Linked DNA regions of Macaca mulatta. The protein of the gene in region 2 purifies or fractionates together with the protein of the main gene of each other region. This does not show direct contact. Links are inferred from orthologs where the notes say so. Each region holds a gene or a part of one and is shown on either strand. Other genes may lie near its edges.

Region 1 (3,500 bases), on a different chromosome or scaffold from region 2:
AGGGTAGTCCTAGACTCAAGGATAGTTGCTGGTAGTCAGGGAGACTCCCCTTCCCTGATGACTCAGAACAGGAAGTGACAGCAGAGATGGGGCATTGTGACAGCAGTGCCTACCAGCTCCCCCAGCCTGAGCTGATGGAGGCAGGGTGAGCTCCTGTGGATCCCAGGCTGCCTTTCCATCTCCCCACAACACCGCCTTGTCAGGAACGGGCAACTCTCTCTTTTCCTTCCTCTTTCCCCCAAAAGGACCAAGTTGAAAAATTCTACAAAAATTATAATTTAATATTAAAACTTTCCTACACCAGATATAAGCTTGTTTTGGTTCAGAGGCTTGTTAAGATCTTGGAGTGTGGTGGGATAAACACTTATCAGCATTATTCTCTAAATATGCAGGAGCTCTAGTTACGGAGTAATCGTTGCTTGATTTTAATTTGAGACAAAATTTTCAACATCTTTCCCCACAGTGATAAATGAAGGATCTTCCCACTCCTTGTATAGACATCTCCCTCTCTTATAAAGAGAAGCACCCAGAACCCTTCTGAAAATACAAATTTCCAATTGCCAAACTTCACTATTTCCCGCCAGGCACTGCCTCCTTGTTACCTTGTTTAGTCAGGTGTCATTGAAGCTCTAGCAAGGAAGATTCATGCTCATTTCAAATGTTAAAATTCTAGCTGTTTCACAAGCAATCACTTAACTATCCCTCTTAGTTGCTAACGACTCAGCAATAAATAAGGCACAATGAAGAATGTTCACTTTTACTCTCCAGCAAAAGTTGTGCAAGAATTCTAAACATGCAGAATGCATCCAGTTTTGTAATGTGCAGACTAACACGCTTTGTAAATCAACTCTAAGGTCAGTACCTCATCGACTTCCTTAATCGAGCTGAGGTCGAGCTCAGGTTCTGCTTGCCGGGTGCCCAGTGAAGCCGACAGAGCCTCCAGTGCTTGATCGCTCATTGTATCCTGTTAAAAGTAAAAAATTCTGTGCATGAGAAAAGACATCTCTGGAGCCTGAACAATCCATTTACTTCTTTGTGAAATACATTTTAGATTATAAACTGAATGTGGATTGGGGAAGTGCTCTAGAAAGGCAAGTTTATTTGAAACCTTGCAAAAGAGAGAAAGGAAAAAGAACTTACCAATGAGTGGAAATTGGGGCTAAGACACGTTTCTATAGTAACAGCGTTCTCTGGGGCACACTTCACCCCTTATTTGGTAAGCTAGACATAAAGCTATAGTAATATTATTATAAAATACTCTTAACAACCACAAAAAAGAAGCAAGTAGTAAACTGTTACCACCCTGTTTTTCTTTTTCTAAAACTGTGTCTCTAAAAAGGCTTCTGATAACCTTTAGCAAACCTGCTAAGCTGAAAGCAGGGAAGCTTGAAGTGGCCCCCGCTGACTTCTTCTCTGAAGGCACAATGGCTGATCGCTGGAGGAACTCCCACTCTCAGGGGTGTGGTGCTCACCACTGTTCCCCAGCCTGCCAGATAAAAATAAACTGTCCACTCCAGGAGGGGAGAGGCACAAGCAGCTCTGATAGAAACTGTTCCTGGGCATTATCTTGACTGTTTGCAGAGGAGACATGTGTTCCCAGCCAGCACAGAGCTGCAGGATTGCCTTTGCGATTTGTGAGAATTATGTCATAGTGAAATACAGCTGAGAGTGGGGGGCAGTACCAGCGACATGGTGTCCCTCTAGTGATCCTCAGTGCTCAAAGTCCTTTAGAAAATCAAACTTGAAGGTTTTATGTTCCAAGAGTGCAATTTCTCTGGTTTCTGCCCTTCTGTGTATCATAATGGTGAGATGGTCTTAGGTGACAACCAAGACAACTGTGCTAAAATAATTCCCAGGCAGTTACAGAAACACACAAGGCTTGCCTGGAGATGATTAATATAACCCTCATTGGCTTCCCTATTCCGGATAGACCTGAGAGGGAAAAAATCATGGCTTCTCCTCATGGGTAATGCGCTACTGGCAGCTTCCTGAATGAGCTAGATCAGGCTCTGGAAAGCAACTGCTGTCAGGTAGACTGTGATTATACCTTCTCCACCTTTCTTTTCTTCTCTTGGGGTGGAGCAGCACTTCTGACTGTCCCTGCTGATTGAGCTTTTAAAACTTCTGTAGATTCCTGAAAATAAAATACTAAAGATGAGATTTACGGATGAGGAAACTTTAACTGGAATAGCCTGAACTAAAAAGTTATTCTTTTAAAGTTCAAAATAGTTCCTAACAAGTTTCCCTTAACAACACTAAAAACAATACCTCTTTTTCAGTTTTCTTTCCAGCAGCTGTAGGCGACCCACAGGTGAAGTCAGATGACAAGGCATCTATAGCATCATCTGGCCCCATGGGTTTCTAAAGAAACAGGCACAGTGATGGGTAACTTATGGGAACCGCTGAAGTGGAAGAATGGATAATAAAGCTAGCAAATGAAGAATGCATTTTTCTAATTCCTTTGCAACCAAATGAGATGTGTTAATAAAACAACTTAGATCAAACTGTATGTTTTGAAGCGAGCGGCTACTCACTAAGTAGGTTTAGTGAATACTCACTAAGTATTATTTTCCACTTCCCCGTTTCTAAAGGAGTTACATGTTAGAATATTCTCATTCTATTATTATGAACATGCAGTTTATCCTAATACTTTCTTGCCTTCATTCTCCTTCCCCTCAGAAACCCTACTTATGGGACTCAGGAGCACTGAAACAACCCTCACACCAAGCCCTTTCTCTGAACACACAGAAACTCCATTTGATTTGGAGATGAGTTAAATCATAATCCTCAAATATAGAATTGATAGCCCTGTTCCCCCAACCAAAAATATAAAACATATTAATTTAGATCAGAAGACATGTATGTAAACTCACCAAAGAGTCTGGAGGAGGCCCTGTGATCCCTTCCGTTTTCTGAAACAAATATTAATTTGATGACGTTGAGAAGGCAGAATTAATCCTTAAGATGGGCAAAATGTATGGCCCATTGTGGGTTGAATTGTGCCTCCCACCCCAGATCTATATGTTGAAGTCTTAACCCCAGTACCTCAAAACGAGACCTGATTTTGAGATAGGTTCCTTATAGAAGTAATCAAGTAAAGGTGAGGTCATTAGGGTGGGCCCTACTCCAATATGATGCGTGTCCTTACAAAACGGGGAAATTTGGACCCAGAGATATGCATAGAAGCACAGAAGGAAGATGGTGTGAAGAGACGTGGGGAGAAGACGGCCATCTATAAGCCAAGAATAGGCTTCAAAGATACCTTTCCCTCACAGCCTCAGCAGGAACCAGCCCTGCTGACACCTTGATTCTAGACTTCCAGCCTCCAGAACTGTGAGACAATCAATCTCTTGTTTATGCCCCTGATCTGTGGTACTTTCTTACAGCAGCCCCATCCAACCAATGCAGTGAGCTTCAGAGTAATGACAATTTCACATGCACATTATGTTTTCTAACTTTTAAACATTGTAAAAATAATGACATGAAATTATATTCTAAAG
Region 2 (3,500 bases):
TCTGGGAAACAGGTGAACTACCGAGGCCAGATGGTGAACCTGATCCGGATGCGGAACCCCTGGGGTGAGGTAGAGTGGACGGGAGCCTGGAGCGACAGGTGAGGGGCAGTGGGTACTGTCTGGGGTGCCTTGGGGAAACTGTTAGGTGCCCCGACATTTCTGCTCGGGGCTCTACCAGGCCAGGCTGGACTCAGGATTGAGCAGAGGGACCCATCTTCACGCAACTGGGTCTGGGGGACTGCCCTAACAAAGCTCAGGCCGTGCGGGCCTGTGCCCAGCCGTCGGGTGTTCGCAGGGCCTCTGACTGGCCCTGATGAGACCACTCGCTAGAACCGGAACTTTGGGGCTTGACCTTGAGGAGGCCACCTGGGTTGGGCTGGGGGAAGACAGGCCAGGGTAGACAGGCCCCAGGGGCAGAGGCCAGGCAGGTCAGTGCCACCAGCCCTGGCAGAGCCCCGCTCCTCACAGCTCCTCAGAGTGGAACAGCGTGGACCCATATGAACGGGAGCAGCTCCGGGTCAAGATGGAGGATGGGGAGTTCTGGTGAGCGCCCCCTCCCCTTCTCCCCCACCTCTCCACCCCTACACATCAGCTCTGTGCCCTGATGGGCTGTGCCTCACCTGTGCACCTCCTCCCTCAGGATGTCATTCCGAGACTTCATGCGGGAGTTCACCCGCCTGGAGATCTGCAACCTCACGCCCGACGCCCTTAAGAGCCGGACCATCCGCAAATGGAACACCACACTCTATGAAGGCACCTGGCGGCGGGGGAGCACCGCGGGGGGCTGCCGGAACTACCCAGGTGACCTGAGTCCGCGGACGCGGAGGTTGCACACAGGCGGGCTTTGGTTCTTGCTGCTTCCTGGCTTAGGGGCTCCAGAAGGCACGTCATCTCACTGAGCCTCTGTTTCCTCACTTGCAAGATACAGGCTGATCTCTTGAATTTGCTTTGAGGAGTAAAATATTAAATGTCTTCGCACATTTTAAAGAGGCAAGCTTGACTCACCGTCCTGGGGCCTGAGCCCAGTGTGCTCATGCGGGGAGAAGATCTTGTGGCCATCCAGCCACCTCCTTGTCACTCCTTTCTGGGCCCTTCCCTCCTGCCTTCTCTTTTTTTTTTTTTTTTTTTTCTGAGACAGAGTCTCACTCTGTGAGTACAGTGGCCTGACCTCGGCTCGCTACAACCTCCATCTCCCGGGTTCAAGCAATTCTCCTGCCGTAGCCTCCCGTGTAGCTGGGATTACAGGCACCTACCACACCCAGCTAATTTTTGTGTTTTTAGTAGAGGCGGGTTTCTCCATGTTGGCCAGGCTGGTCTCGAACTCCTGACCTCAGGTGATCCGACCACCTTGGCCTCCCAAAGTGCTGGGATTATAGGCGTGAGCCACTGTTCTAGGTCCCTTCTGTCTTCTCTTGCCATCTTTCCCTGGGCTTCTAGATCCATGTGGCTGACACGGGCCACAGCCTGGCCTCTCAGTTCCTTGTCACTCTCACCTGCAGCAGGCTTTTCCTGTACCTTAGCTCAGCCCCCACCATGAGGGCACCAGAGCTGCCTTGCCTTGCAAACACCCGCTCTCTGACCTCCACCTTTGACTCTTTCTACTCCCTTAGTCTTCAGCCCTTGGACCAAGCCAGCCCGTTGAACTCACCACTTGTATACCATCCTGCCTCTCCCGTCTTGCCTTTTCTCCTTACCTAGGTTAGAGCTATCATTTTAATCTTGTTCCTACAAACACCTTCTGTCCCCTGGCCCCTGTCTCCCATCATCTGGCACAATACCCATCCTAGTGGAACCCAGCTCTCCACCGGCTTGGGAACCATTGAGTATGGCAGGAGAGAAATCACATAACTGATGCCATATTTTCCCTGTAAATTCATAGCCACAAATCTCAAATAAGCATTTTCCATGATCCCCAGCAATTCCACTACTGGTTAGTAACGATTCCACTCTCACCTCCACCTCCCCCCATTGTTACTCTCACCTTCGGGCCTGGCCTTACACATCATTGAAATGATAGACGTCGTCCTGCAGGACACCTTGTGTTCCCACCTCCAAATCCCCCAGCCTTCTGCACCTGTGCCTGTGTCCTCACTGCCTCCCCACCTGCGACAGTGGCAGAACAGTCCCTGCTCATGGGGACCCCCACCTCTGCTCCGGATCCCATTCTCCCTGACCTCTGAAAGCATTTGCTCCTTCATCTGTCACCTCTCTCCAGCGTCATTATGGAAAATCCTCTGTCTTAACACAAAGCAGCCCTCTCGACCCCACTTCCCTGTTCATTTCTCTGCCCTCCTTCAAAGCACAATTTCTCAGGAATTACCATACTCCCTATTTCCTTTCTCACTTCTGCTTCATTGCTTAACCCTTCCCAGTCCAGCTTCATCCCTACCATGCTGCTAAAACCGCCCTTTCAAAGGTCACTTACAGCTTTGGCCTTGCCAGATCTGCTGCTGTGCTGTTCTCCTGTGCTTCATTCTCAGCACGGCTCCCTGCCCTCTGTTTTGAAGCATTCTTCTCCCTTGTAGGGATCCAATTTCAGTCTTTCCCGAAATAGATAACCACCGTTCCCTGTACCATTTACTGAGAAATACATCATCTCCTCACTCCCCAGCAGCACTAGCGCCCTCACCTAGTCCCCAGGTATATGTCGGTGTGTTTCTGGACTCACCATTCTGTCCCTGGATCTATCCCTCTGCCAATAACACATTGAATCCATTACTATAGATGTGTAAGTCCTGCTGTTGGACAGGCAAATTCCTTCTTCAACAGTCTCTTAGCTGTTTTTTTTTTTTTTGAGATGGCGTCTTGCTCTGTTGCCCAGGCTAGAGTGCAGTGGCGTGATCTTGGCTCACTGCAACCTCCACTTCCTGGGTTCAAGTGATTCTTCTGCCTCAGCCCCCTGAGTAGCTGTGATTACAGGTGCCTGCCACCACACCCAGCTAACGTTTGTATTTTTAGTAGAGACGGGGTTTCACTATGTTGGCCAGGCTGGTCTTGAACTCCTGACCTCAAATGATCCACCTGGCTTGGCCTCCCAGATTGCTGGGATTACAGGCGTGAGCCACTGCATCTGTCTTAGCTGTTCTTGGCCTTCGTTTTTCCAGATGAATTTTAGGATCAGTTTACCAAGTCCTACGAAAAACCATTTTGAGGTTTTAATTTGGAATTGCATGAAACCTATAGACCAATTTGGGGAGAATTGACATTTTTATAATTTTAAGTCTCATCCAAGGATGCGTTGTATCTCTTCATTTATTTTGGCCTTTAATGTCTTTCAATAGAATGTTGTATTTTTTTATCATAAAGAATTTATACATCTCTTGAGATTTAATGCTAGGTACACTATAATTTTGTTGCTATTATGAATAATATGTTCTCTTTTTTTTTTTTTTTTTTTTTTTTTGAGACAGAGTCTCACCCTGTTACCCAGGCTGGAATGCAATGGGGCAATCTCAGCTCACTGCAACCTCTGCTTCCTGGGTTCAAGTGATTCTCCTGCC

Evidence for each region. Proteins that work in one complex are often made in the same cells at the same time.
Region 1: the proteins of CAPN1 (region 2) and CAST purify together in Homo sapiens (co-immunoprecipitation; 4 studies listed by BioGRID and IntAct, counting the BioPlex papers as one, with this or other methods). This does not show direct contact. The link is inferred for Macaca mulatta from reciprocal best matches to the Homo sapiens genes CAPN1 and CAST.

What each region holds. Positions count from the first base shown.
Region 1 is NC_133411.1:103,090,121-103,093,620, reverse strand, and holds part of CAST (calpastatin), read right to left. Parts: intron 2,913-3,500; coding exon 2,874-2,912; intron 2,362-2,873; coding exon 2,269-2,361; intron 2,135-2,268; coding exon 2,048-2,134; intron 965-2,047; coding exon 863-964; intron 1-862.
Region 2 is NC_133419.1:9,188,784-9,192,283, reverse strand, and holds part of CAPN1 (calpain-1 catalytic subunit), read left to right. Parts: intron 1-12; coding exon 13-98; intron 99-468; coding exon 469-543; intron 544-640; coding exon 641-801; intron 802-1,829; exon of another isoform or gene 1,830-1,959; intron 1,960-3,500. UniProt on the Homo sapiens protein: Calcium-regulated non-lysosomal thiol-protease which catalyzes limited proteolysis of substrates involved in cytoskeletal remodeling and signal transduction. Proteolytically cleaves CTBP1 at 'Asn-375', 'Gly-387' and 'His-409'.